7 linked regions of the Nothobranchius furzeri genome follow. Each later gene encodes a partner of the first gene's protein in a complex. Links are inferred from orthologs where the notes say so. Each region holds a gene or a part of one and is shown in the gene's direction. Other genes may lie near its edges. The genes, in order: crnkl1, cript, rbmx2, bud13, plrg1, snrnp40 and eftud2.

The links.
Region 2: crnkl1 (region 1) and cript share a complex: the UniProt entries of both Homo sapiens proteins name them as parts of the minor spliceosome. The link is inferred for Nothobranchius furzeri from reciprocal best matches to the Homo sapiens genes CRNKL1 and CRIPT.
Region 3: crnkl1 (region 1) and rbmx2 share a complex: the UniProt entries of both Homo sapiens proteins name them as parts of the minor spliceosome. The link is inferred for Nothobranchius furzeri from reciprocal best matches to the Homo sapiens genes CRNKL1 and RBMX2.
Region 4: crnkl1 (region 1) and bud13 share a complex: the UniProt entries of both Homo sapiens proteins name them as parts of the minor spliceosome. The link is inferred for Nothobranchius furzeri from reciprocal best matches to the Homo sapiens genes CRNKL1 and BUD13.
Region 5: crnkl1 (region 1) and plrg1 share a complex: the UniProt entries of both Homo sapiens proteins name them as parts of the minor spliceosome. The link is inferred for Nothobranchius furzeri from reciprocal best matches to the Homo sapiens genes CRNKL1 and PLRG1.
Region 6: crnkl1 (region 1) and snrnp40 share a complex: the UniProt entries of both Homo sapiens proteins name them as parts of the minor spliceosome. The link is inferred for Nothobranchius furzeri from reciprocal best matches to the Homo sapiens genes CRNKL1 and SNRNP40.
Region 7: crnkl1 (region 1) and eftud2 share a complex: the UniProt entries of both Homo sapiens proteins name them as parts of the minor spliceosome. The link is inferred for Nothobranchius furzeri from reciprocal best matches to the Homo sapiens genes CRNKL1 and EFTUD2.

Annotation. Positions count from the first base shown.
Region 1 is NC_091742.1:17,433,302-17,437,563, reverse strand, and holds the start of crnkl1 (crooked neck-like protein 1), read left to right. Parts: upstream 1-1,462; 5' UTR 1,463-1,600; coding exon 1,601-1,648; intron 1,649-2,152; coding exon 2,153-2,305; intron 2,306-2,392; coding exon 2,393-2,484; intron 2,485-2,566; coding exon 2,567-2,725; intron 2,726-2,798; coding exon 2,799-2,965; intron 2,966-3,250; coding exon 3,251-3,429; intron 3,430-3,502; coding exon 3,503-3,673; intron 3,674-3,781; coding exon 3,782-3,973; intron 3,974-4,042; coding exon 4,043-4,102; intron 4,103-4,174; coding exon 4,175-4,255; intron 4,256-4,262. UniProt on the Homo sapiens protein: Involved in pre-mRNA splicing process. As a component of the minor spliceosome, involved in the splicing of U12-type introns in pre-mRNAs.
Region 2 is NC_091756.1:43,772,589-43,776,814, reverse strand, and holds the start of cript (cysteine-rich PDZ-binding protein), read left to right. Parts: upstream 1-1,426; 5' UTR 1,427-1,567; coding exon 1,568-1,583; intron 1,584-1,741; coding exon 1,742-1,807; intron 1,808-2,090; coding exon 2,091-2,145; intron 2,146-2,931; coding exon 2,932-3,035; intron 3,036-4,226. Other genes in the region: pigf (phosphatidylinositol-glycan biosynthesis class F protein), read right to left, coding at 759-986. UniProt on the Homo sapiens protein: As a component of the minor spliceosome, involved in the splicing of U12-type introns in pre-mRNAs. Involved in the cytoskeletal anchoring of DLG4 in excitatory synapses.
Region 3 is NC_091750.1:26,772,697-26,776,828, reverse strand, and holds rbmx2 (RNA-binding motif protein, X-linked 2), read left to right. Parts: upstream 1-1,332; 5' UTR 1,333-1,438; coding exon 1,439-1,443; intron 1,444-2,649; coding exon 2,650-2,765; intron 2,766-2,946; coding exon 2,947-2,998; intron 2,999-3,081; coding exon 3,082-3,211; intron 3,212-3,339; coding exon 3,340-3,526; intron 3,527-3,600; coding exon 3,601-3,971; 3' UTR 3,972-4,050; downstream 4,051-4,132. Other genes in the region: ap4m1 (AP-4 complex subunit mu-1), read right to left, coding at 37-143, 375-460, 534-595. UniProt on the Homo sapiens protein: Involved in pre-mRNA splicing as component of the activated spliceosome. As a component of the minor spliceosome, involved in the splicing of U12-type introns in pre-mRNAs.
Region 4 is NC_091750.1:44,767,950-44,771,965, reverse strand, and holds the start of bud13 (BUD13 homolog), read left to right. Parts: upstream 1-1,216; 5' UTR 1,217-1,260; coding exon 1,261-1,400; intron 1,401-1,524; coding exon 1,525-1,615; intron 1,616-2,127; coding exon 2,128-2,212; intron 2,213-2,280; coding exon 2,281-2,517; intron 2,518-4,016. UniProt on the Homo sapiens protein: Involved in pre-mRNA splicing as component of the activated spliceosome. As a component of the minor spliceosome, involved in the splicing of U12-type introns in pre-mRNAs.
Region 5 is NC_091744.1:17,230,025-17,234,076, reverse strand, and holds the start of plrg1 (pleiotropic regulator 1), read left to right. Parts: upstream 1-1,252; 5' UTR 1,253-1,395; coding exon 1,396-1,404; intron 1,405-1,600; coding exon 1,601-1,707; intron 1,708-1,942; coding exon 1,943-2,079; intron 2,080-2,224; coding exon 2,225-2,278; intron 2,279-2,353; coding exon 2,354-2,447; intron 2,448-2,548; coding exon 2,549-2,639; intron 2,640-3,043; coding exon 3,044-3,142; intron 3,143-3,238; coding exon 3,239-3,331; intron 3,332-3,872; coding exon 3,873-4,022; intron 4,023-4,052. UniProt on the Homo sapiens protein: Involved in pre-mRNA splicing as component of the spliceosome. Component of the PRP19-CDC5L complex that forms an integral part of the spliceosome and is required for activating pre-mRNA splicing.
Region 6 is NC_091759.1:20,973,206-20,977,267, forward strand, and holds the start of snrnp40 (U5 small nuclear ribonucleoprotein 40 kDa protein), read left to right. Parts: upstream 1-1,262; 5' UTR 1,263-1,395; coding exon 1,396-1,506; intron 1,507-2,130; coding exon 2,131-2,260; intron 2,261-2,333; coding exon 2,334-2,427; intron 2,428-2,519; coding exon 2,520-2,685; intron 2,686-2,796; coding exon 2,797-2,919; intron 2,920-3,239; coding exon 3,240-3,360; intron 3,361-3,433; coding exon 3,434-3,516; intron 3,517-3,661; coding exon 3,662-3,723; intron 3,724-3,817; coding exon 3,818-3,921; intron 3,922-3,995; coding exon 3,996-4,045; 3' UTR 4,046-4,062. Other genes in the region: zcchc17 (zinc finger CCHC domain-containing protein 17), read right to left, coding at 189-327. UniProt on the Homo sapiens protein: Required for pre-mRNA splicing as component of the activated spliceosome. Component of the U5 small nuclear ribonucleoprotein (snRNP) complex and the U4/U6-U5 tri-snRNP complex, building blocks of the spliceosome.
Region 7 is NC_091745.1:13,636,704-13,640,203, reverse strand, and holds part of eftud2 (116 kDa U5 small nuclear ribonucleoprotein component), read left to right. Parts: intron 1-992; coding exon 993-1,117; intron 1,118-1,196; coding exon 1,197-1,260; intron 1,261-1,337; coding exon 1,338-1,428; intron 1,429-1,511; coding exon 1,512-1,647; intron 1,648-3,500. UniProt on the Homo sapiens protein: Required for pre-mRNA splicing as component of the spliceosome, including pre-catalytic, catalytic and post-catalytic spliceosomal complexes. Component of the U5 snRNP and the U4/U6-U5 tri-snRNP complex, a building block of the spliceosome.

The DNA of each region.
Region 1 (4,262 bases):
TGACAGATAGCGCCTTCGTAATTTTTTTCTGAAACCCTTTTTTATAAAATTAAGCATTATTGGCAGTGGGGGAAAACGTTATGGACGCAAATTTTTTATATAATTTTTAATGGGCTACATGCAAGCCTTTTGGCCAAAATAAACGTAACAATAGGCTATTTATTTGACCGTTTATGACTCCTCATCTAATAAACAGCAAACTCACGACGGCAATGTGGTAGCCCGGAGGTATTCTACAAACACAAGAACAGTGCTAATTCCTATATGTATTGTTTTCACATTGGTTATGACAGCCTCTAGGTGTAAATGTCATTTTTACTAATTGCTATTTATCTCTGTCTCACTAGTGAGAGGCAGCTGATGTCCTATGCCATGGAACTGCTCATATACTCGGAGAAAATCAGAAAAGCTCTGGACTCATCTGAATTTTTCAAGAGGTTGTAGCAATGTGTGGACATTTATTATTATTATTATTTTTTGGAAGGTATTTGTAAGGCCAATAAAAGCTGTTGCTGGTTGTTTCATTTGTCAGAACTTTTTTTTCTAAAGCCAAACTTTTCTGCTTTTGTGTTTACAGTATATTCTTTACAGATTAGTGTATGGTCAATATCAGTTTACTAGTCTTGTGAATTGTATACTTAATGCAAAATATTTTAGTAATTTCTAAATCAATACATTTTGTGTGAAAGGGCCAGCAATTATTCCTGTTAACAGAATATATGAAATGCATATATACACATGTAAATATGCCTAAAAATTACACAGCAGCAGCTTTTCACTGTAAAGAAGCAATAAAAAAATCACAGATAGTAACATAAATATTAACTACTCACTCGTATGAACTTAGACCTACTGTTAGTGCCTGTAATAACAAATGGTTGAAAGTTAAATGTTGCTGTAGGAGGCGTGCTCCCAAAAATGGGGGTCAGTGGGCTTAAGGGGTTAATTAAAACGATTACCACTAATTACTTTTTCTGATATTTTATTTTATTGCATTTAAAATAAACACTTGCACATACATTACTCACCTGCTAACGTCAGTAAGCATAGGTATGTTGTGCCTATTGTACGGCAACTGATTATTTGTTGGTGGTATCTGTGTTTTATAATCTCACTGGGGATGGCCATGAAGTGTGTATACAAGAAATAAAAATAATCTCACTGGGGATGGCCAAAAAAATCCATACATTCATATTTAAACCTGGAGTCCTGTCTGTTTAATTACATTATTACTATTTCTATATTTATTTTCTTTCAATTGTGTTGTTCGCTGGGAGGGCCGCCGTTATTGAGCTCGGGGGTATCTCAACAGGGGGGCGTGTTTTGTCGGGGTGGGTGGGGGGTGGGGGGTGTTTGGCCGGGGCTACGTCTGCAGCTAGGAGGGTTTCAGTCACGTGGTACAAAAAATTGAGTTTTTTACTCTCTCCCTTTGTGTAACTTCCGTTGCTATACCAACGTACCGGAAGTCGCAGAGCATTGTGGGTACTGTCATGGTGGCTGGAGCAGCAAACGGAACGTTTATGTGGCTTAAGCTTTGAAACAGTCGTTTCTTTGGGACCTTTTATTTTACAGAGAACGTCTGGTCCGACACACCGGCAGCATGGCCTCCACGGCGGCAGGGAAACAGCGGATACCGAAGGTGGCGAAGGTAAGCGGACCGGAGCGCGGAGCTAAGAGCGGCTAAGCTAATGCTAACGCATTACTGTTTAGCTGTAGTGACCCGTGAGTTCTGTTCTGATGGCCCGGGTCCAGAGACACGAGCTCCTGTCCTCCACCGGGAGCTCAGAGGCTGCTCCTGGATGTGTGGGAGCTTTGGTTCCCCCAGATGTTCCGGTCACCTGGGATCTCAGCATCACTGCTAAGGTCCAGTAGTTCTGCCATGCTGGACCTGAAGTGCCATTTATCAGCACAACCCTAGAATGTTTCAGCTCACTGGTTCTGGTCCGGCCCGGCTCATCGATCATAACCAGAAAAACAAAACAAAAAAAAAATTGTAAATTCAAAAACGATCAAATGTTCTGGTAAAACGCAGAAAGACTTTTTGGCCAATTCTGGTTTTAAAGAGTGTAAAATCGCACCGGACCCTGGTTCTGGTTCTAGGACAGGAGTGGTACCGAGGAGTGGTCCTGAAGCTTATTGTGTTGCTTTCCAGGTGAAGAACAAAGCTCCTGCTGAGGTCCAGATCACAGCTGAGCAGCTGCTGAGAGAGGCCAAGGAGAGGGAGCTGGAGCTTCTGCCTCCGCCACCCAAACAGAAGATCACCGATAAGGAGGAGCTGAACGACTACAAGCTGAGGAAGAGGAAGGTGATTTAGAGAGCGTAGCCTCCATGGGTGGGTTAGTCTAACAGGTAAACAACACGTCTGATGGGTACTGGTCTAACTGTGTTTCAGGCTTTTGAAGACAACATCAGGAAGAACCGGACCATCATCAGTAACTGGATTAAGTACGCTCAGTGGGAGGAAAGTCTGAAGGAGATCCAGAGGTATTTAGGTCATCACCACAGCTGGAACTAGAGGTTTAAGGTAACCTGGTTAGTTGTTTAAACACTGTTCATCTGGGTTCAGGGCCCGGTCCATTTATGAAAGAGCGCTGGACGTCGATCACCGCAATGTCACTTTGTGGCTGAAGTACGCCGAAATGGAGATGAAGAGCCGCCAGGTGAATCATGCTCGTAACATCTGGGACAGAGCTATCACCATCCTTCCACGGGTCAACCAGTTCTGGTAGGACTCTATAGCTTGGGGTTCTGTCAGAGCCTTCACGTGTGTGCTGGAACGTTTTTGATGTTCTGCTCAGGTACAAGTACACCTACATGGAGGAGATGCTGGGGAACGTGGCTGGCTGCAGGCAGGTGTTTGAACGCTGGATGGAGTGGGAACCCGAAGAACAGGCCTGGCACTCCTACATCAACTTTGAGCTGCGCTACAAGGAGGTGGACAAAGCCCGGACCATCTACGAGCACTATATCCTTTCTACTGGAGCCCAGTAGAACCTAGAATGGTGGGGTTAGAACACACGTTCCATAAAAACAACCGGAACAGGTCCAGTCAGACTCGAATTAAAACACCAAAGATCTGTGACCCGGTTCAGCTACAGATTCAGACCCATAATGCCTTAAACCTGATCCTACAGAGTACTGGAGAACATCTCTGTTCCTTCTGACCCGGTTTTTAACTAACCCTGGTTCTGGTGGTTGATGGGCTGCGCGTGGTTTTGAACAGACAGGAAGTTCTTTAACTCGTCTTCACTCGTCCTTGTTCACCCGGAGGTGAAGAACTGGATCAAATACGCTCGCTTCGAGGAGAAGCACGGATATGTGGCTCACAGCAGGAAGGTGTACGAGCGGGCTGTGGAGTTCTTCGGGGAGGAACACGTGGAGGAGAACCTGTTTGTGGCCTTTGCCAAGTTTGAGGAGACACAGAAGGAGGTGGGTGCTATCAGAACTTTGTTTATGGGTTTGTTTGGGTGGATTCTCTTACTTCTGTTCTTGTTCTGGACAGTTTGAGCGTGTTCGAGTCATCTACAAGTACGCACTGGACAGAATCCCCAAACATCAGGCCCAGGAGCTCTTCAAGAACTACACCATGTTTGAAAAGAAGTTTGGAGACCGGAGAGGAATCGAAGATGTGATCGTCAGCAAACGGAGGTTCCAGTACGAAGAGGAAGTGAAGGTACTTCACCTGTCTGGAGGTCAGAGATGAAGTCTGGTTCTGGGCTCAGGTGTGCAGAGGCAGGTGTTCTGCTGTGTGGCCCAAACTCAGCAACTTCTCGTCCTTCAGGCTAACCCACACAACTACGACGCCTGGTTTGATTACCTGCGGCTGGTGGAGAGCGATGCGGACGCCGACACGGTGAGAGAGGTTTACGAACGAGCCATTGCCAATGTGCCCCCCCTGCAGGAGAAGAGACACTGGAGGCGCTACATCTACCTGTGGATCAACTACGCTCTGTACGAGGAGCTGGAGACCAAGGTCAGTGGTCCTGCAGCGTTCCTGCAGAGGGCGCTGACGGACCGGTGTAACGGTGACATGTGTCGGCAGGACCCGGAGAGGACGAGGCAGGTTTACCAGGCTTGTCTGGAGCTGATCCCTCACAAGAAGGTCTTTAGAACTTCACCATGATGTAACCCCCCACCACCACCAGGCTGTGACGTGCTTTCTCTTCTCTTTCAGTTCACATTTGCTAAGATGTGGCTGCTTCATGCTCAGTTTGAAATCCGACAAAAGAATCTTCAGAACTCCAGAAAGATCATGGTGAGCT
Region 2 (4,226 bases), on another chromosome or scaffold:
CTGCCTGCATGGCCTTTCTGCGTGGAGTTAGGATGTTCTCCCCATGCTTGTGTGGCCCTTCTCCAGTAACTTGCTTCCTCCCATGGACCAGACACATCCATGAAAAGGGTTCAATAATGACTCTAAATAGTCTCTAGGTGGGAGAGTGTATGTTTGAATGGTTGTTTGTCCTTCTATATGACTGGAGACCTGTCCAGAATGTCCCCTAGCTCTCATCTGATGATGATTAGCGCTAAAGATGAGCCGTTTAGATCATGGATGAACCGAATTAAAATGAAATGAAACTCGGATGGTTTTGTTAGCTCTCTTCCCTTCATAAAGGACATAATCCTTTGAAAACTGCATTTAGTTTAGTTTACTCAAGTTCTCTTTGCCTGATGTTGAAATTTGTTTGATCTGAACCATTTAAGTGGGACAAAAAATTAAACAAATAATATATGAAATGTGTTAAGAGACAATTACTTTTTTCACACCTAAATAAAATAGATCATAACAAGAAACGCTTACAATTTCTACTTTTTCATCACCTCACCTTACAATATCCAAAACTTACCTTCATTTTCACACATCTATTAAATTTAATTAAAAAGCAAGTTGACTGATGTCCATTTCCCTGTCCAAATAATAATAATATTAATAATAACAAACGAATACATTTTGTAAAATTCATAAGATACCTTCACATATCACATAATACATTTATATGTCGAACATAATCAACAATTCACTTTAAAAACATTATCTAGTTGTTTTGGCACCTTGTATCCCAGTGTGTGCTTTTTGGTGGGCGGTGAGATGCCGAGCAGCCAGAAGATAGCGACGCTGACACAGGTCACCGTACCGGACACCGCGTAGACCCACAGCAGGTGAGTCCCATACACTGAGAAGCCCGGGACAAACACCGCGGGGATGACCGTGGCCATGAACACCGAGGCGGTGATAATCGCGTGAGTAGACGCCATAGCTTTAATTTCATGGTCCCACATGATGAAGACGTGAACTATTTACAACAAGAACCCGATAACGATGCGGGGAAGTCAAATAAAACACCTAAAAAACGTAAGGTAACATTGGGAAACTGTCAGGTCTATGTATTTCTTTTCCGCGTTTCCGTAAACACGAAGACGTAAGAACGTCCGCTTAATTTCACAGTAAAAGTCTACTGCGCACAGACATCTTAGGTGAATGATGAAAAAACATCCGTTTCGAAACATATTATCATAGATTATCGGGTCAGTTTATTTCAATTTCAAGTGAAAAAGGTGTATGTTTTACTTGTTACTCAATCTCTGCTAATGAATACGCTTGGGTTAAATAAGGTAAAAGTGCTTGACTTTATCAAACATTTATTTTGAAGAACCTATAAGCAAATAAACGGGAAGTAGTAAGTTATAGTTCGCGTTGCGTAACTCAATTGTTTTAACCAATCACAGAAGATGTTACTCGTTAAAGCAACCAATGAAACCTGTCATTTGAAATGCCTCAGCTGACCGGACGTTTACATTAGCAAAGCAAGCTAAAGCTAACAAACGATCATTTCTACTGCGTCATTCGACACACCGCAAAGATGGTCTGTGAAAAGTGTATGTATGTCATTTGCTTCTGATTTTCAGACGTATTGTTCATTTTAAAATCTGATGAACGTTACTTTTGTCAGCGAAAGTCTCAAATGCAAACTAGAAGGCCAATAGTTTAGTTCTTATTGTATTTTCCTCCATAATTGTTTTGTTTTATATTTTAGGCGAGAAGAAACTGGGAAAAGTAATTACCCCCGACACTTGGAAGGACGGAGCACGGAATACAACAGGTGACCCGAGGAATGCGTAGTGAAATGTTTTTTTGCCATCAGTATGATAAATTGCTGTTTGTTAATTATTCTAGATATGAGACTTGTTGTCTTGTTTACAAGTTACTTTTGAAAATGTAATCATTGTTTCTATATTTTTTCACGTTACTAGCAGGTTTAGTCCTCATTTGGTTGATCACGCCATAATATAAATTAATTGGTGTTTATTTTTTTTATATTAGTATAGGTATAGTAACATTTAGATGTCCGTGTTTAACAAGTTTGTCTTCTTTCTTTGTGTCAGAGAGTGGAGGACGTAAGCTAAATGAGAACAAGATTTTGACATCCAAAAAAGCCAGGTGAGTAAAAACAATTTATAGAAAAAAATAAACTTTAATTACAACAATCTAATGAATGTAAATACAAATATGAGAAGTCAGAGAAAATATTCTAAACGCATTAATATACTTATCTTAAAATTACCTTCTTGAAATTGAACCAAAAACTGTTATTTTACTAAAGTTCAACCTTATCATATAAAACTTTCTCACCACCATATTTGCTTGGGCATACATTTTGCTGCATTGGCACAAATCACCACATGAATCATCATTAATCATCTGTCCTTAGTATTTTACTTTATGAACCACGTTTAAATCCTGATCTTCTTCATTTCTTGCAATCATAACAGTTGATTTTTACATCATAGCTGGAACACACTCTTAAGTAACTGTTGCAAACCTGCTCTGAAGAGTAAAAGACCATCAAATCTTCAGCAGTCATGAGATGATTGGTCATTATTTCCCCATTCATCCACTCTTATGCTCTCTTAGTTAAATAAAACTTAGATCGTCCATATACAAGTTAAAGGGAATAGGTGACAATATCTGGTGAACCTTATTAGTAACAGAAAAGGAGTAGCTCTCATTTGGTTTTTAGTCTGATTGTAAGATTTGTATAGAATATGAGGTGACACCTTGTTCTTAAATCTTCCTAAAAAGCCCATCATAATGAACTCTTATCTGAACTATTCCTCAGAAGAAGTCACACAACGGTTTAGCTACTGTTTTTCAATGTTGTATATTACTAATTCAAAGTGGTCAGCTGATATAACTGGTCATGTGTGTAACAATTATTTTCATCAGGTTTGACCCTTACAGCAAGACTGGCTTCGCAATCTGCAGGATCTGCAAAAGCTCAGTTCATCAGGCTGGATCTCACTACTGCCAGGGCTGCGCTTACAAGAAAGGTATGAAGTGATTGTGCTGAAGATTTAGTTTTGTGTCACAAAAACGCTACAGCATTTCTATTAGCCCTTTTACATAAAACACACACACACATGCTCTCTATTCAACACCCTGCTGAGTTTTTCACATGTAATCATGTCACCAACAACATTATCCTTTTCCTCTGAGACAAATCCATCTGCATCCTATAGGAAAACGTGACAGTAACTGGGACGAGTTGTGAAACTGCAATGTTTGTCTGTTGTTGAACAATTCAACTTGTGACTTTTCTGCTCAGATGTTTTCATTTTTCAGTGTGTCTTAGTGTCAGAATCCGGAGAAAATTACAGCCTCACATCAACAGAGACTGTACTTGCATAATCTAGAGCCATTCTCGATAGGTTTGTTTGAATACAGTGTGTTTGTACTGTATTTAGGCTGAATGATGAAATGTAAACAGGGCTTTATCTAAAAAGGCATATCTTGATGAACATTGAAGCAAACTGTCTTAGTTGCAGGAAATGAAAGAGTGGAGTGGCCATGTTTCAGATGGTTCATCAAACATGGAAGATGCTCAGTGAAACAAATCATCTTTATAGTTTGCTGAAGTTTTCTTTTTTATTATAATGATTTCAAGGCCTACGTGTCCCATTGAACCTGCTGCCTTTGGTATGTCTTCATGATGATGCCTAGGTAGACTCACAATTAGGAATAGGGCTGCACGATATTAGAAAAACCTGCGATATTCGATAACAGTGTTTAATATTGCGATATCGATATTACTCACGATAAATGAACAAATACTAAAGTATGCAGTGTTGATGTCGTCTGGCGTGTGACGTCTGCTCTGGGTTCAAAGCAAACAAAACTAATGCATGAATTCCATTACAACATAACATTTTTATTGCAAAAATATGCAGCTGCACCTGCTACTGTATTAGTAGCAAAACAATAAACTGCATGCATGCAGTTTCTCAGTGACTTTAAAACATCACCTCCACCATAAAACTTTTTCTGATGCTCCAAATGCAGAAAAACATCCCTTACCAGGGTTTTTGAATAAATAAAAAAATATCAGAAAATAAGTTTAAATGTTAAATAATAGTTAACATCACTTAAATGGAACAGCAAATTCTCTCATTGCTACTGAGCATTTTCTCCACTTATGTGGTTATGATATAAGGCTGTTGCTGCTATTGGGAAGTGAACTGTGC
Region 3 (4,132 bases), on another chromosome or scaffold:
CTCCATCTGAAGGTTCTGTTTAGAACCAGAACAAACCTGTTGAGGAACTCGATGATGGTGAACGGTGAGGAGTCGGCTGTCGTCGTGGCGACCCAGTAAAGGCCTTCATGTCTGACATGTACAAAGTGCAGGTCTCTGTCGCTCTGCGGGACACAGAATCAGGTTTGTTTTACTTTTGACTCTCGAATCATCTGCATGGTTTCAGTCCAGTTCCTCAGACAGTAAACAGACGCCGAAACATCGTTGCTTCATCCTGATGTGACTTCTAATCTAGTGGTTCTGGTTTGACCTACTCTTCGTGTTTGGGTCAAATCAGAACTCAAAACAACACAACAGTTTGGGTCTAAATGTGTCCCAGACTGTGGAGGCGTTACCGTGACGACCAGAGGTTGGTCTCCAGTCAGCGCTGTGACCTTCTCATAGAAGATGTTGACCACATCGTTTCCTCTTTGGCCTCGGTCTGATTGTTGGCTTGGGTTAAGCTCTAACTCCTGATAGGGTAAAGTCTCACGGGACTGGAAGCAAAAGGATACAGTCCTTGTAGATGAGATGGTCCCCCTTGGAGGACAGGATGAAGACCTGAGAGATCATCCTCCTGAAAGGAAGATCACAAGCACAAGATTAATGATAATGATAACTAATATTTATATGGAATATCACACCTTATTGATCATTTAATAAAAGTGACCACTTCCGTCACGTTACAACATGTTTATCAGAGTTGGAATAAAGCCAAATCCTATCTAATTTATTGTATTATAAGTGTTAACAGCACTGTTGTGTACTGGTGAGAACCTGCAGATAAAACTACAGAAGTTCCGCTAACGGAAAGGTGGATCTGTGAGGGGTTACAGCTGCTGTACTCGCCTGCGGAAGGTGTGGGGTCTACCTGGAAGAACCAGATCTTACTGCGGCTATTTTTAACAGAACTTCAAAGGAAATGAAAGCACGGCTGGTGCTGCTTTGGCTAGCAGTAAGCTATAGATAAACTTTAATAACTCACAGGGCCGCAGTTTTCAGAAACGCTGAATACAACCAGATAAGCTCATTGTCTGCAGGGTTACAAAGCTAACCTGACAGAAAGGTTTTGGGTTTATATTCAGGTTATAGCTACGGTTTACGACACGGCTCCGTTAGCATGTAGCCCCACAGCGCTCCCTTGTGGACAGGAGGTTGAATGAGGATTGCATTAATAACTTTATATTTATTAACTTCACGATGAGTGAACTCATAGCTACGTAAGAAATTGCTTCAGATACATCAACCTAGATGGTTTGGGTGTGTTATATAAACCCGAGAGAAATAATCTGCACATGTTTAATGATCGCTTGTAGTTTAGATCTCCAAACTGCAGAGGGCAGCAGAGACGAACCAAACGGAAGTGGTCTACCTCAACAAATAAAACGTCTGATCTGTGCCCTAATTTCTGTAACTAACTATGAAGTAAGTACATTTATGTATTCATAAATGACACGAACCACCGACACAACACTGTTCTACTTCTTGTCGTGTAGTTAAAGTAAAAAGAGCGAGTTCGTTATTCTGCGGTTTGATGACTGATCCTGGTGCAGCATGCTAGCTGTTAGCTAGCTCCTACTCGTAGCCGATCGGATTCTGCTCAAAAAACAGATAATTTAACATTTTTTCCTTAAAAACCAGAGAGAGCATGTAATAAAACATAAACACCCAGTTGTGTTTGGGATGTAGCATGTATCTTTGATGCTTCAAGAAGACATTTGATCATGTGTAGGTTGGCTATTGTTTTGTTTACACCCCTGACCTTCTACTACGTGTTTTATTCTAGACCAGTGTGTCTGATAAAGTTGACTAATAATTTATGTCAACTGCTGATGAAGACAGGACCACAAGCTTGGTCATATGTGGTGTTATCTTTTTCTCATGAATGTTTCTACGTCTGCTGCAAAAAAAAAGATCATTCGACTAATAAAACACACCACTCCGATCGTATTTACCCCGGAAGTCAAAGGGGACACATTTACATGTATATCCAGCCATTGTCTGAACCCGCATATCCTCACAGGGTTCTGGGGGGCTGGTGCCTATCTCCAGCAGTCTCTGGGCATGCAGGCGGGGTACATCCTGGATGGGTTGCCAGTCCATCGTCCATCGTAGGGCAGCCCAGAGGCACACAGGACAAACAACCATGCACAGCCACCTAAGGATGATTTAGGCAGACCAATCAACCTGACAGTCGTGTTTTTGGACTGTGGGAGGAAGCCGGAGTACCCGGAGAGAACCCACGCATGCACAGGGAGAACATGCAAGCTCTATGCAGAAAGACGGGCTGGGATGTAAACCCAGGACCTCCTTGCTGCAAGGCAACAGCCCTCAGAATTAAAATGTCAAATTTAAATCAAGCCAACAAGTGAAACGGAGCAGCTCGACCAGGAACACCGTGGTCCTGCTGGAGGAACAGGATTATGCCTGCTGCTGCTGAAGGGTCATTAGGGTCAGGCTCAAGGTTGGGGTTGAATAGAAAAGCTCGACTCTTTTTCTCTGTAGTCCAAACAAAAAGCAGTTTTTCTTTCTAAATTGTCCTGACAGCTTTTCACAATAAAACTCCAATTGAGTCAGAATCAGGTCCAGTCCCTAACGGGACGATTTACTGAGCAACTTGTGTGTTTTCAGTCCTCTAACGAAGGTGAAGCTGATTAACGAGCTGAATGAGCGCGAGGCTGACCTCGGCATCAGCGAGACCGTCTCCTGGCACACAGAGTACCGGGACAGTGCCTGGATCTTCATCGGTGAGAACTCCTCAAACCCAGCCCTTCACACGTGGAGACGTTGGGATGAGTTTGGTGTTTTGGGCTTTTGGAGACGATTTGCTTCTGTTCATTAACAACATAAAAAGGGATCTCATGAATGAAACTGTTGAAGTGGGTTTGTTTGGTTCTGATGATGCTTACGAGGTCTCGTTTCCTGCAGGAGGGTTCCCCTTCGAGCTGACTGAAGGAGACCTGATCTGTGTCTTCTCCCAGTACGTACATGCTTACGTCTCACCTGCTTTACGTTATAGCTGACATGACAGTGACGTTTGTCTCCTCTCGACAAACCTGCCAGGTACGGAGAGATCGTCAACATCAACCTGGTGAGAGACAAGAAGACGGGGAAGTCTAAAGGGTTCTGCTTCATCTGCTATGAGGACCAGAGGAGCACCATCCTGGCAGTGGACAACTTCAATGGCATAAAGGTGACTTCCTGTCCTCACCAGGTCCTGGTGTGGACCCAGCGCCGCTCCTTGCTGGCCCACAGCGGCATCAACATGGTCTCTGATGAGACAATTAGCTAAAATCTTTTTGTTGTTGTTTAAACGTTCAGATTAAAGGTCGAACTATCCGCGTGGATCACGTTAAAAATTATCGTCCTCCCAAAGACAACGAGGACATGGACGATGTGACCAAACATCTCAGAGAAGAGGGCTGTGCTCCCAAAGGTCCTACTGTTGTCCCCTCTTCCTCTGAGGAAGAAGAGCAGTGCGTCGTACCTGCGAAGAAGCCCAAAAAAGGTGAGGTCACTTCCTGTTACCTGAAAGTCACCTGATCTAGGACCAGGTGGACTTATTTCCCTTTTCTGTCTCAGATAAGAAAGAGAAGAAGAAGAAAAAAAAGAAAGAGAAGAGGAAGAAGAGCAGAGCTCCCTCTTCATCACCTTCTCCTCCTCCTGCAGTCTTCAGACTGAAAGAGGAGAAGCAAGACGCCGCCTACGACAAGTACAACCACAAGGAGGTGCCTGCAGGGCAGAGGACGAGGGACACGGAGAGAGGAAAGGGGACAGACAGGAATGAAGACAAGTGGAGGAACTGTGAGAGAGAGGTGGACAGAGACAAGGACAGAAGAGACGACTATAGGAGACAAGAGATGGACAGAGACAAAAGACGAAGAGAGAGGGAGTGGGACGAAGACAGAAGAAAAGACGGAGACAACAGGAAACGGGAGCCGTATAGAAAATAGACAGGTTGTGATTGGCCGATCCATGGTGTGTGTGTGTGTGTTTTAATGTTTCGTATTAAAATCTGACCTGAACACCTGATACACTTCATGTCTGATGTCCAACACCTGAGGACGGGTGAGACTTTTACAAAGCAACACGTTGGCGAACTCGTGAAGCATTT
Region 4 (4,016 bases), on another chromosome or scaffold:
CATGTCTTTTAGGTCTCAGAGGATTTGTTGGGAACTGAAAGAGTTGTGTGATAATCTGGGTTATGAGTCTGAGAGCTTTGACATTCAATCACTTTTATATAAAAGTGATTTGAACTGCACAATTCTTAATGGCTTAAAACTAAAGTACATTAAACTTATTGGGGGTAAAATTGGACCATTTTGCTGTTTTTATTTAAGTGTGTAAAACAGATCTAAACAAATGTTTCTACAGAGCAGCTGCTACATGAGGTTGTGATTGAGCCACCATACACCACGAGATAAAGTTACAGTCATTAATGAGGTAGCAAATAAATAATGAATACAAAAAGGTGCAACAAGGAGGCAACAAAAACTTGTTAAAATATGATAAGAACAAATAAAAAAGATGCAAAACATCAAAGTACATTGTGTGTGTGTGTGTGTGTGTGTGTGTGCGCGCGCGCGTGCGTGCGTGTGTGTGTGTGTGTGTGTCAGAGAGAGAGAGATAGACAGATCCAGGGCCTAAATAAATCATTATGATGACATCACTGAGTTCCTCAAGCTAAAGATCTTAAATCATCACTACTTTTGAGTTACTGCTGGGAACAATAACGTGTTCAGTGTCTATCGAGTAGAGTCAGTTTCTAAATGGAGCTAAAGCATGTCTCCTACAGCACTGACAGAATGGTGATGGTGATAACAAATGTCGTCTTTGTTTCTGCAAATAGAATTAAAGTAAACATTAATTCTTCTTTTTTTTCATTATAAAAAATCTAATATTGTTTTACTGTGCCATCCTTATTTTATCACACAAAATTGAATTGTATTTGTTTTAATCATTTGTATTTCCAAACAAGAATCAAATGACCACTTGTTTTTTTTTATTATTATTTGTATTATTTTTTTTAATTACTGATTTGGTTCCCTGATGAAAGACTCCTATTATCAAAATTAACACTTGTTAATGTGATGCTTTTGTGTCCAAAATGAGGGAAAAAATGTCTGTTTGTCAGTGTTAATTATTCGTTTTATTTTTCTATTTGTTTTATTTTATTTATTAGCAAAAATTAGATGGAAAATCAAGCCATAGCTCATCCATTTTTACATCAAAAAGATAAGCGGCTTGTTTAGCAATTGAGTATTTTCAGTTTTACAACAAAAGCCAGATTATGACTCTTGTGGTATTTTTTAAAAAGAAAAATATATACCATAACAAGGATGGTGGAGCGGTTTACCCCTTTTGATCCTCCGCGCTATCCGTAGTTTCGGACAACAGTCAACATGGCTGCCTCCAATGGCGTCAGTAAAGGAGCTGAGCTTTCTAAAGCTGAGTACCTCAAACGTTATCTGTCAGCCAGCGAAGATGCTAGTAAATCAAAAGGAAAGATAAAAAAGAAACGACGCAAAGTTCCTGAAAAAGGGTGAGTTTGTGAGAGAGTTCTATAAAGTTTCTTTTCACTTGTATGCTAGCTGTTTCGCTAGTCACTGTGTCAGTTATCGCTTTTTTGTTACTTGGTGACATTTATTATTTTCCTTTTATTTCAGACTTAAAATAGTAGATGATGATATAGACTGGAGACAGATGGTCACAGAACCGAAGGAGATTGAAGAGGAGGAAGAAGAAGAAGCTCCTGTGGTAAACAGCTAGCTAACGTTAGCTTTTTCGAAAGACCTTAATTCGATTCAAACGCTTTTAAAGCAAATCTCTCCCTTCAGTAATCTCTGGCAATATTAAGACAGGCGTTCAGTTTTAGACTCCATACATTGGGTTGAGTTTATGAAAGTGTATTCACAAGTTTTTAGACACTAAAACTTGATCCCAAGTGGGTCAAAATACTTAGAATGTTTTTGTGCCATTTTAATAATTTTTGTTTAAAAAGATCAAGAGGAAGATATTTTGCACTATAAACAGGGCTAAACAAGTGCAAAATTATAGTTTTTTTTCTTGCAACAAATAATAATTTAATTTGTGGAAAAAAAATCTTTTTGCGTAATCTGTCCATATAATCCAGGAGGGAAAAAAAGCTGAATTCTGACATAAACAGAGACAAAAAAACACAAACTTTTATTTATTAGAAGGTTCTAATGAGTGATGTTTCCTCAAATGTTATGGAAATGCAATATGGATAAATTTGTGTGCCCACTAAGATTGCTGAATTCATTGACGAGCGACCAGAGGAGGTGAAACAGATGGAAGTCTTCAGGACCAGCAACAGATGGAAAATAGTTGGAGGTAAACGTGAAACACAAACAAAATCTGTTCCTTTGTTTAAGAAAATCATCATCTAGTCTTCCCTGTAGCTGATGAGAACGAGGAAGATGAAACAACGGGGGAACGTGTAGAGTCTTTGGAATCTAGCAAAATTCACCAAGACTCACCGGAGAGGTCATCAAAAGACATGAGACACAATTCTCCCATCAGAAAAGCAAGACATGACTCTCCGGACACATCTCCTCCAAGGAGAGGTCGCCACGACTCTCCAGACTTGTCACCTTCAAGAGGGCATTCAGGGAAATCAGGAAAGGGCCGATATAAAGGTGAGTGATAAACGTTTTTTTCTGTGTCTCTCATGGACAGGCATTTGTTTTAGCATCCTGTTCTCCACCACTGATTGAAGCATATTCAGGGTTTTTCCTGCATTCAAATTCGGCCGCCCCAGCCTGATTTCACTCTGCCCCCAGCTATATGGGTGTTATTTTAACTGCAGTTGCAGCGTTACGCCCCTACAGGGGCGCTGTATCAGCAGCGGCGCACCGAAAAGCACTAAAACCACTGCAGACAAAGAAGATCAAAAACTGCTTTTCTCGCTAGTTACATATCTATGGTTGGTGTTATTGACATCCTGATTTTCCCCCAGGCTCTTCCATATCAGAGCAGAGCTGTACAGTGTGACGAAAAGAACTGTCTGTGCGTGTCTGTCTATGTTTAAACGTAGCACTGGTGCAACATCTTTGAATTACTATTTTCCCCAGAACTTTATTGAACAAAGTTAGTTGCGTGTAAGAAAAATGCTTTTTACCGGCGCAGTGTGGTCATCTGGATGCAGTGGAGGAAAATACAGGAACCAGCAAAGGCAGAACCGGTCCAAAGTTTGGGATCAAAAGTGCAGCTACACGCAGATTGGCTAATGCTAAAGCTAACGGTTAGCAGTCTCACGATCAAGTGGTGCACAGAAAAATATATGATGGTAAAACTAAGAAAGACTAAAATCTACAAGCGGATGAAAAGTCCCCACCATCCTGTTTATTCTGCATCCTGCAGCGCTATGGATCAGAACCGCTGCAGATACGAGTCACATTACTGCCACAATGCTGCAGTCGCCATGGTAACTCTGTCTCCCTATCCCACCCTGGGTGGGACTGCGACCGGTGAAGGCCATTGAATCGTTTCCAGGAGTCACTGTGCCCTCTAACCCACATACCTCCTTCCCCTGTCCAAACGGAGGTGACGAGCGCTGCTTATCGCGGCTGCATGCACTGATGTGTGGAGAGTCCCAGACCCTACCACCCCACCTAGTGGACACTTATGTTGTGTAATGTCTGAAGTCTGTTGCATTTCTGTCTGAGGTGTTTTTTTGCATAGCAAAGCTGCCCTCCCTGTCTCTGAAGTGCCTTTTTTCCCTCCACCTGACCCAATCCTTATGTAAACCCTCCGGGTCGCGAATGACCACAGTCACCAATTCTTGTCATGTGTCTATGCCTATGTATGTATGTCTGATCTCAGAATTGTGTGTACTGAAACTCTAATTTCCCTCTGGGATTAATAAAGTATCTTTGAATTGAATGGAACGGCTATGGCAAGCCGTTGTAGTATATAATTAACAGACGCTTCTATCTTTCAACATAATTTGAACTGGATTATTGCCAACCCGTACATAATAGACATGCCACCATTACATTTTTAGCAGCCAAAATTAAATGTTATTACCATTTCTGATACAAATGCATATTAATGAAATGCATTATATAATTATATAAGTATCTCGGGGTCTTGTTCACGAGTGAGGGTAGGAGGGATCGGGAGATCGACAGGCGGA
Region 5 (4,052 bases), on another chromosome or scaffold:
CATTTTTCAGAAGGAACAGAGATTATATTCTCAAATGTTCCAGCTCTGAATAAGAACTTACACTTAGGAGTTAATAAGAAGTCAGGCTGGTTGTTTATTTTGTGCTCACAATTGAACAAATGATCTACTCTGAGTTTTGTTCTGGTAGTATTTGTACTGATGCATCATTACATTCACCTCAGAAAGCTATGGTTGAGTTCAAACTTCATCTGACTCGCAGTAAATTCCAGTGCCATGTAAAAAATAAAATGTGGGGTTTTTAGCTCAGAAAATTGAGCTGTATGACTCTGCAAATAAACACTTGAGTGTATTGGTATGAAACGTGATTTTCAGGACTGCTCCTACCAAATTCAATTTACTTTATCTGTTTCTCTACGGACTATTTTCAAATGCATTAGAACGTTAATTATTATTTAAATCTTTTAACATCAGTTGACATAAATTTTAATTGGTTGTATTTCTGTGTTACTGTGCATCATGAATTAATTTAATCTGTCAACCTTGTCAATCCAAATTATGTTATTATTGTTTTTATTTTTGATAATAATAATAATAATAACAATTTTATATTGCACCTCTCAATTAAAAAATCACGAGGTGGTTCATATAAAAATAAAAATGACAAAAAACATTTTTTCTATTATTTAAAAAGATCGAAGCTTATCGTTGGATCCTGAAAAAGATAGAATTAACAGAAACACCAGCTTGAAAAGAAGCTATTGAGGAAGAATAGGGTGATCATGAGGTCACGCAAAGCCAGACAAGTGAAAAGCATGTTGCAGGACAAGCATGAGGAGACGAAGGTGTGGATGAAATCTGAAGTTCAGAGCATGACAGAACTGACATGAGAATCCAGGGTGAGAGCTGGGTCAAAGGTCACGCCAAGATTCCTGACAGAAGGTTTGGTGTGAGAAGCAAGCTGACCAAGAGAGTCTTTGACTTTGGGAACCAGCTTGTCTGGGGCACAGATGAGGATCTCAGTCTTATCTTCATTCAGCTGAAGAAAGCTCCCACCATCCAGGTTTTGATAGAGTCTAAAGCAGGTGTGTAACAGCTGCAGTTTAGATATCTCATAACTAGCATGGTGGGTCATTTGATAGAAAATATCCTTAATAACAATTAAACATTTAAATAATAATTTTATGCTTTATTCATACGTTGAACTGTCACATTTTAGCCCTTGATGATGAACAGGAAAAGTGGTTGAATCATCCAAACCGGTAGGTGGCGCTGATATAACTTTAACAACTCTTGGTCGTGTTTACTTCCGGGTTATCTCAAACGTTCGGTTTGTCGTGGTGGTCAGGAGGATTTATTTTACTACCAAGTTGTACTTACCGAGGCAGACCTTTATTTCCTCCTCAGTTTTGTTCTATCGGTATATTCCTCTATAAAATGACGGAGGTATGGATTTATACATTCATGTATGTCTTTTGTGTCCGCTAGGATGTTAGGAAACGTCCAACACACTCCCGGGCCTGTCTATTTACTGGAATTGATAGCCTTTTTCTGCCCGTTTCACTGTTTATTGAGTGAGAAATAACTTTTTATTAGGTTGTTATATGCGATGTTTTTTAAATAAAATTCTCGCTTTTTACAGGATGTCCAGAAGCACTCTGTCCACACATTGGTCTTCAGATCGCTGAAAAGGACGCATGACATGTTCGTAGCCGACCATGCTAAAGCTATCGCTCTGGATGACGAAAGGTAACCCAGGCTGCTTCCAAAGTGTGTTTGTAAATATTTACAGATCAAACCTCACTAATGTTTTCTAATGCGCCGGGATACGTTTTTTGCTTAACGTTCAGTGAAGAAACATGGATGTTTGCTCAGCTTATATTTTCTGAGGAAACTATTTTTTACGGTGTTTAGAGTTGTTGCTCAATTAGATAACATTTACATTTTGGCGGTATAACATGTATATGAATGACTGTGTTTGCAGTCACAAACAGAAGATGGGTGTGAAACTAAAGACAGAGTATGGACCAGTTTTACACATGCCCATCCTAAAGGAGGGCAGAGAAAGAGTCTCACATCATCCTGACGGCATGCTCAGCCATCAGAGCTACCCACAGCTAGGTAAGGGAGCAACACACTGTGACTGTTTCTTAGTTAACCGTCAAAATAAATATTGCATAGTTTTATGGATCACATAGATTGTTTAACTTCTTTTGAGCGATTAAGCCAAAGTTAATAATGTTTTCACTCTGTTAAAACTATTTAGGCGATGATCCAGAATACCTGATTACCGGGACCAATGCTTATCCATCTGGACCAGGTAGATTTGTTTTCTGCTACTTTAGGAATCCGCACTACTTTTAATTTTGTGCTAACAGTAGCTTGTGCTCCACAGGTGTGGCACTCACCGCCGACACTAAAATCCACAGGAATCCCAGTGAAGGAGCGGTGCACTCCTTGACACTGGCTTTACCACCCTCACTAGCAAGGTAGGCTATTATTTATTTTTAATCCATGCTGGTAACAATTTGGCATACAGATCTATGGTTAAAATAAATATTCTGACATACTCTATGTCATGTACTTTCAGGCAGGACGCCAGTCGCACTGCAGCCAGCGTTGCAGAGATCCATAGACATGCAGGAGTAGCAGAGAGAATTCACCCTCCGTCCACTGCAGTGGTAAACCACAGTGAATTTACTTTTCCAGAATGCTTGTTAGTGCTTATAGAGTCTTAAAAAGACGTGTAAAGCTAATAATCCAGTAGAGATTGGGTTTCTTTTCTGCAGTAGAAAATCACTAATTTGAAAATAAATTAAAAAACAAATAGCGAGCTCAGCTAACTTTAACACCATGGAACTTTTATGTTGCTTATTCATTCTGGTAGTGTCGCATCAAATTCTGTAAGCAGAACAGTGTTGCAAGACAGAATGCTTCACAAACATACAAAACTAATTTTACAATATAAAAATTACATTATAATGCTAATGAATGTGTCGTTCAGTTGGCCAGTTTATTTCTACTCATAAGTCTTTCATGCTACTTAAAAAAAATCCTTAATGACCTTTTGAAGTATATCTTTTAGTCTCTCTTAGATGGAGGTGGCACCAGAAACTCAGCGCTCATAAGGAGAGCTCCAACAATGCCCAAACCTCAGTGGCATCCACCGTGGAAACTGTTTCGGGTTCGTAACAACTGTTTCACAAGTTGTCTTGCATTTGTTTACAACATTAATAATTAGAAGCTGCCTTGTTTAACTGTGGTGACCGTTATCTGTCAGGTTATCAGCGGACACCTCGGCTGGGTGAGATCCATCGCCGTGGAACCGGGAAATCAGTGGTTCGTCACGGGGTCAGCAGACAGAACTATAAAGGTCGGGCGGGCTGAGTAAAACACCAGCTTTTATGTGTTTGTTATTACATTCATTCATTCATTCTCCATAAATACATATAAGCAGTAAAGCTCTGTTGATAGAGGGATCAGTAATGGTCTAGGGTTTTAAACTGCTTTTTATATTCTTTATTAACAGGTTTAAGCTACTTTTTGTCTCTAATGGTAACAAGTCTCAGAGGACTGAACCTGTCTAGATTTGTTATTAGACTTCATCTTCTCCACCAAATAGTTTTTCCTATTCTGTAAAGAGCTGTTATTGATCTAGAGCTGGTAAAACATTCAGGTTGTTGTATTTTGTGTAGGTGCAGACATTGCAATACAGTTTTTTAAAAAGAAATCCTTTCAGTATTTAACCCTTACCCAACGTTTACATTTTCTAACGTTAATGTCATTTGAGCACAAAAAAATGCTTTAATGTTAGGTAAGGGTTAAAACGTTTGGGAGTGATACCAAGGTGGCTCTGTTGCTGTTAAAGCTTCTGTGATGATCCAGAGATAACTGGAAGGTGGTTGTCTCTACAGATCTGGGACCTGGCCAGTGGGAAGCTGAAGTTGTCTCTGACTGGACACATCAGTACCGTTCGTGGTGTAGCAGTGAGCAGCCGCAGTCCGTACCTCTTCTCCTGTGGAGAAGATAAACAGGTCAAGTGTTGGGATCTGGAGTACAACAAGGTACGTTGTTTGGATTAGCTCAGGGTCATC
Region 6 (4,062 bases), on another chromosome or scaffold:
TATGGTATTAAATGAAAACGTTTTTTTTAAATAAAAAATATAAAGTTAGCTGTAGTCATCTAATATCTCCTATTTTTCTTTTTACAGATCCATTACTGCTTTAAAGGACTCACTTCACTCAGCTGGTTAATATTACTAATACTGGTATTTCATTTTTAAAGATTACAAGCTCTCAGCCTTCTACCAACCTTCCTTCCTGTAACCAGGCAGTCGAACAAAAGCTCCATATGTTTGCACTGAAACCACCTCTCCCTTGGCGATGCTGTACATCGGAGGCAGACCATCCAGCCCGGCTGGTTCTCGACTCGAGCGGTCACGGTTGGACATCGTCTCAATCTGGGCAAACAGTTGGAGGATTAAATATATTTCAATTCAATAACACAACACAGATAAAAGACGAAAGACGAGGAAAAGTTAAAGAAACCCAAAATAAAAGCAATATTGTTCCTTTTACAAAGTAACAGAATAAATTTAAGTATTTATATTGTGAATAAAAATTATTAAATAAAAATCCATAAAACTACTTTCTACGACAACTATTATGTTTTCACAAGTCAGGAGTAGGCAATAAATCAAGTTCAGTTGAAGTTATCCTTCAATTAAAATGTTTTTTCTTCGTTTTCATTAAGAATTAAGCTCAAATAACCCAGTTTAATAATATTAAAACTAGACTAAAAAGACCAGCCATGGTCTAAATTTTATTTAAACGGTAACTGCATATTTTCTAACACTCCATACATGTGAAACAGACTGAGAACCAAACACAAAAAAATAAATAAAAACAAAGAACACAGACAAAAATTGCAGCTGTCAGATTTAAAGAAACTAGGCTAATCTCAAAAACGAACAAATAGAATTATTAATATTGTAAATCAGTTTTAATTTTCAAAACATGGATTTATCTTACCTCAAACTTCACTTTCCATTACATTAATTCGAGCGGAGTAAAAACTATAGGAGACAATATCTCTGGAAACATGAACAGGATAAACGCAACACGAGCATTGGTGTTTACATAAAACCCTCTAACCTATTCCTGTTAAACTGCTCTATGATACATTAGTAAACCAGACAATTGTGCTATAATTAATATATTTTGCGTAATGTGACTCTAACTCTTAAGAAATAAAAATAATTGCAATACCTTTTCCACCGACTAAACTGTGCTAGTTATACTTCCAGGTCAAATTGACGCCAGGAAGAAAATCAGCCAATCACTGCAGCCTGCGCAAATTTCCACCAATCACGAGCTTTGAACCCGGAAGTACTTCAGTGTCTGTCTTCTTTGGTGGTTTTGTTTCCTCAGACGTCTTTCGTCGAAGACGTCCGTTAATTTTACTAAGTTTTAGCTTTGCATTTACTCTATTTAGCCGCTTTTTGTTAACTTTCCCCGCAATGATTGAACCTCTAAAGAGACCCGGAGACATGGCGATGGTTCCCACTGCGCTGAAGCGGCCACGGATGGAGCTAGTAGCGGCGGCTCAGTCTCAGCAGCTCGTGGCCACGGTAACGTAGCCCTGGTGACATCCGACTGCGTTTACATTCAAGATTAAATCATACTTACCACCTTTATAGTAGTTATGTTTTTAAGTTTGAGAAAAGGGCAAGCTATGCTAGCCGGGGACTTATGTATTCATTAACCGGACCATGTAAGCAGATTTAGTCACGTTTTCATGATTAATGTAAACATCAGAATAGTTGACAATAGAATTCAATATGCAAAAAAACTATTTTCAAGAGCGTGTTGGTTATTGTAATTATGTATTTTATTGGTAACAATATTTATTATTAAAACAGCCTTCCTTTTTAATATTTGATTCAAATAACAAAGCATATATAATAAATAAATAAACTGTCAAGATGATCAGAGTTCACTTGTGCATCAAAGGTAAAATATATATACACAGATATCACCTTTTATCATAATGCAAGCTTAAGGAAACACCAGATTGTAATTGCCACTGGTGCAATTAGGATCTACTTCCAGCTCCTACATGATTAAAGGGAGCATTTACTTCACTCTCTTTGCTAGATCTCAGCAAGTCATCCAGCTCGTATGCATTTAAAGTAAAGTACCACTTGTTGTTTCTGCACCATAATGCTGCAAACCTAAATCACTGATCCCCATAGGGCCATCCACGCACCTCCAGCATGCAGGCTCCCATCATGTTGATGTCTGGCCATGAGGGGGAGGTCTACTGCTGCAAGTTTCACCCCAATGGAGCTGTGTTGGCCTCTTCAGGATTCGACAGACTCATATGTAAGTTTGTGTCAAACAGTAGCAGACATATGTTTGTTAAAACCGCTTTAAAATCTCTGTTACCATGCTGCAGTGTTGTGGAACGTGTATGGAGACTGTGAGAATTACGCCACCCTGAAGGGTCACAGCGGAGCGGTGATGGAGCTGCATTATAACACAGATGGCAGGTAGAGACGGTGGAATATGATCAACTAATATCTGGTGGATTATTGCGGAACTTGAGTCAGAAGTGTGATACAGAGGTGTCTGTGTGGTTCAGCTTGTTGTTTTCAGCCAGCACGGACAAGACTGTTGGCGTGTGGGACAGCGAGACAGGTGAGAGGGTCAAACGTCTGAAGGGACACACCTCCTTTGTTAACACCTGCTATCCAGCTCGCCGAGGTCCTCAGCTGGTCTGTACAGGAAGCGACGACGGGACGATCAAGGTCAGGCTGTTTTCTGGGTGTTTTGCTGTGAAAATGAGGTCCAACACACACCGTTCACACACACCTACATTGTTGCACGTTTTGTTTAGCCTGATGTTTTTTGTTTTCTAGCTGTGGGACATCCGCAAAAAAGGAGCCATCCACACCTTTCAGAACACCTACCAGGTTCTGGCCGTGACGTTTAACGACACCAGTGATCAGATCCTGTCTGGAGGCATCGACAACGACATCAAGGTTAAAAAAACAGTTTTTCTTAAAGGGACTCATTAAACTGTTTATCTTGAAGAAAGTCAGACTAAACATTTTAATCCCTTTAACAACAGCAGATGGTTGCAGTGATGCTCTGTTTCAGCCATTTTAAAGTTGATTGACTGAAGATGTTCAGTGAGATTTATTGTCAGCCCTTGGTTGTTTACATTTTTGTTTGCTTCAACTCCAAACGCAAGTTTATTTTTTGTTGATTGTTGCAAAAATGTGAAATGTCGAAGGCAACAAATCGGCTCCAGCCTAAAATTCTCTCCTGGTCGTTGATCTGAAAGCTTTGTGTTGCTCAGGTGTGGGATCTGCGACAGAACAAGCTGATCTACAACATGCATGGACACGGGGACTCTGTAACCGGGCTCAGCCTGAGCTCCGAGGGGTCATACCTTCTGTCGAACTCCATGGACAACACTGGTATGCTCGGCTTCTGATCCTGCTCATCTGTGCTTGAATCGCATCCCTCAAAGAGTCTCGCGTGTCTTTGCAGTGCGAATTTGGGACGTGCGGCCGTTTGCACCCAAGGAGAGGTGCGTGAAGATTTTCCAGGGTAATGTTCACAACTTTGAAAAGGTAATCTTCACTAGCAGACAAATGAACAATTCACTTCTAGGTCAATCTGAGAAGTCGTACATATCTGGACTAAAGAAAACCGCTTTTTAGCTGTGAAAGCTCCGGGTCTGTGTTCTTCTCATGTCCTCTTTTCCTGTTTATTCAGAACTTGCTGAGGTGCTCCTGGTCCACTGATGGCAGTAAAGTAGCCGCAGGATCAGCCGATCGGTGAGAAACGCTTTGGTGACTTTTTAAACCCAAACGGAGTAAAGATAAGGCACTGAGAGCCACTTTTGTTCCCCGCTCTGTGCGTCTGCTACAGATTTGTGTACATCTGGGACACCACGTCTCGCAGGATCCTCTACAAGCTGCCGGGCCACGCCGGTTCTGTTAACGAGGTGGTGTTTCACCCAGAGGAGCCCATAGGTGAGCGACAGAACAGGAACCGGAACCAAACACAAGAAAAAGTCACTCATTTATTCTTTTCTGTGTCTTTGCAGTGCTGTCTGGCTCCAGTGATAAACGTCTGTACATGGGTGAAATCCAATAAGGTGTGTGTGTGTGTGT
Region 7 (3,500 bases), on another chromosome or scaffold:
AAGCAGTGTAGAACATCCAGAAACTTTCAAAATAAAAGTCACACGCAGGTAAACGTACATCCTTTCCGGTTGTAACCCCCGTAGCCGATGTAAACAGAACAGAACATAAACAACAGACCTTTTTGATACATGCAGGTGTTGTTCTCCATCCATCCATCCATTGTCTGAACCCACTTGTCCACGTAGGGTCCCCGGGGGGGGGGCTCTGGTGCCTATCTCCAGCGGTCAACGGGCAATCAGGCGGGGTACACCCTGGACAGAGAGCCAGTCCATCACAGGGCAACATAGAGACACACACACACACACCTAAGGACAATTTAGACAGACCAATCAACCTGACAGTCATGTTTTTGGACTGTGGGAGGAAGCCGGAGTACCCGGAGAGAACCCACGCATGCACAGGGAGAACATGCAAACTCCATGCAGAAAGATCCCAGGCCGGGAAGCGAACCCAGGACCTTCTTGCTACAAGGCAACAGCTCTAAACACTGCGCCACTGCGCAGCCCAGTGTCATTCTCCTTGCTTGTTATTGTGTGTGGACTTTTGAAATCACGTGTAGTGTCGCAATTCTCCTGTGATTTTGTGACATCCTGGGGTCGACAGCGTGGAAAGCTCTCACTCCCTTTTTGCATCAGAAACAGTCCTGATTGGGAATGAACTCGCGGGTAAACCGCTGCTGTTACGTTACGCGACCGCTTTCACGGCTGGTGGAAAGAAGAGGTGAGACTGATTCTGGCTAAGGAGCCTTCAGATCTTGGATTCCTGTCGTTTTCTGTTAAGATTGTATTTTCTATAAGACATTGGTACACTAAATGTGGCTCACAGTGGGTAGTTCCATAAAAGCAAACAAAAAGGAGCATTTTTTTTTCAACAATTTCAAATGATTTGAAGTGGCAATTAGAAAGTACTCGTACTCTGTTTTAAATATCTGGTATTGGTGCATACTGATCTGCAGATCTAACATAAAAAGAGACTTTGTCTTCCTTTTCAGCACGTATTCCACGGATGAGAACTTGGTGGTGTCTCCTCTCCTTGGAAACGTGTGCTTTGCCAGCTCTCAGTACAGCATCTGTTTCACGCTGGGGTCGTTTGCAAAGATCTACTCGGACACCTACGGTGAGAGGCTCATCCTTAAGCAGCTGTAACTACAGTGTAGTTCTCTCAGGACTAATTCACTCCTGACTCTGGTCCGTAGGGGACATCAACTACAACGAGTTTGCCAAGCGGCTCTGGGGAGACATTTACTTCAACCCCAAAACGTGAGTCTCAGTGTCCGCACACGTGGAGCTGATCTTTGTTCACATAACTCAGGAATTCCTTTCTGCTTATTGTTTAGTCGCAAGTTCACAAAGAAAGCTCCCAGCAGCAACTCTCAGCGCAGCTTTGTGGAGTTTGTCCTGGAGCCTCTTTACAAGATCCTCTCACAGGTTAAACATGCCTTCCTCAGTGCTCCGTTCGTCCATCAGACTCAGGTCCAGCTTGCCCGGTGTGTAACTGTCCTTGTGTCCAGGTGGTCGGAGACGTGGACACCTCTCTCCCTCGAGTTCTGGATGAGCTTGGGATCCACCTGACCAAAGAGGAGCTGAAACTGAACATCAGGCCTCTGCTTCGGCTGGTCTGTAACCGATTCTTCGGAGAGTTCACCGGTATGACTGGATTTGAACCGCCTTCGTTTGTCTAGAAATAAGTTTTTCTTCTATGGGAAAAGTCTGGAGTGATGGCCAAAGTGCAAAAATACAAGCTTGTTGTATATAAAGTAGGGTTGTCACGGTAACCGGTGTAGCGGTAAACCCCGGTAAAAAAGTTGACAATAATAATAACCGTCTTGTTTTTAACAAAATATTATCTCGGTGGGTTACCGTGGTTGCGGTGTAGGCGCCATGACCCTTACCAGCCACCGTATCATCTGCTGAAGTTGCCGGCGGCACATGCGCGCTTTGTTGTTTACAACCAAAACTTTCTTGAAGCTAAAGCTGAAATAATGGCCAGAGGAGGAGACGGCAGCACTCAGGACATTTATTATCCCTCAAAGAAGACAAAGTGGGTATCATGGACATGTTTTGGATATATGAAGAATGCCGAGGGACAGTTGATAGAAGACGGCTATCCTGTTTGCAGCACGTGCAGAAAAAGTGTCTGTGAAAGGCAGCAACGCTTCAAATCTCATGACCATCACCCACAACTCTACAGTCAACGCAAGGCAAGCTAACGTTAGCGTTTTAGCTAAAACGCGTGATCCGAGGATTTGGGTTGAGGGAGAATGCAACGAGTTGCTATATAAAGCAGCCGCAGCACCGCTACCTGCATATACAGGTGCTGGCCAGTAAATTAGAATATCATCAAAAGGTTGAAAATATTTCAGTAATTCCATTCAAAACGTGAAACTTGTACATTATATTCATGCAATGCACACAGACCAATGTATTTCCGATGTTTATTACGTTTAATTTTGATATTTATAGGTGACAACCAATGAAAACATCAAATCTGGTATCTCAGAAAATTAGAATATTCTAAAGGCCAATGAAAAAATGTTTGTTTCTCTAATGTTGGCCAACTGAAAAGAATGAACATGAAAAGAATGTGCATGTATAGCACTCAATACTTAGTCGGGGCTCCTTTTGCCTCAATAACTGCAGTAATGCGGCGTGGCATGGACTCGATCAGTCTGTGGCACTGCTCAGGTGTTATGAGAGCCCAGGTTGCTCTGATAGTCGTCTTCAGCTCCTCTGCATTGTTGGGTCTAGCGTATTGCATCCTCCGCTTCACAATACCCCATAGATTTTCTATGGGGTTAAGGTCAGGCGAGTTTGCTGGCCAATCAAGGACAGGGATACCATGGTCCTTGAACCAGGTGCTGGTGGTTTTGGCACTGTGTGCAGGTGCCAAGTCCTGTTGAAAGGTGAAGTCTGCATCCCCATAAAGTTGGTCAGCAGCAGGAAGCATGAAGTGCTCTAAAACTTCCTGGTAGACGGCTGCATTGACCCTGGACCTCAGGAAACAGAGTGGGCCAACACCGGCAGATGACATGGCACCCCACACCATCACTGACGGTGGAAACTTTACACTGGACCTCATGCAACGTGGATTCTGTGCTTTTCCGCTCTTCCTCCAGACTCTGGGTCCTTGATTTCCAAAGGAAATGCAGAACTTGCTTTCATCAGAAAACATAACTTTGGACCACTCAGCATCAGTCCAGTCCTTTTTGTCCTTGGCCCAGGCGAGACGCTTCTTGCGCTGTTTCTTGTTCAAGAGTGGCTTGACACACGGAATGCGACACCTGAATCCCATGTCTTTCATGAGTCTCCTCGTGGTGGTTCTTGAAGCGCTGACTCCAGCTGCAGTCCACTCTTTGTGGATCTCCCCCACATTTTTGAATGGGTTTGTCGTCACAATTCTCTGCAGGGTGCGGTTATCCCTAGAGCTTGTACACTTTTTTTCTACCACATTTTTTCCGTCCCTTCGCCTGTCTGTTAATGTGCTTGGACACAGAGCTCTG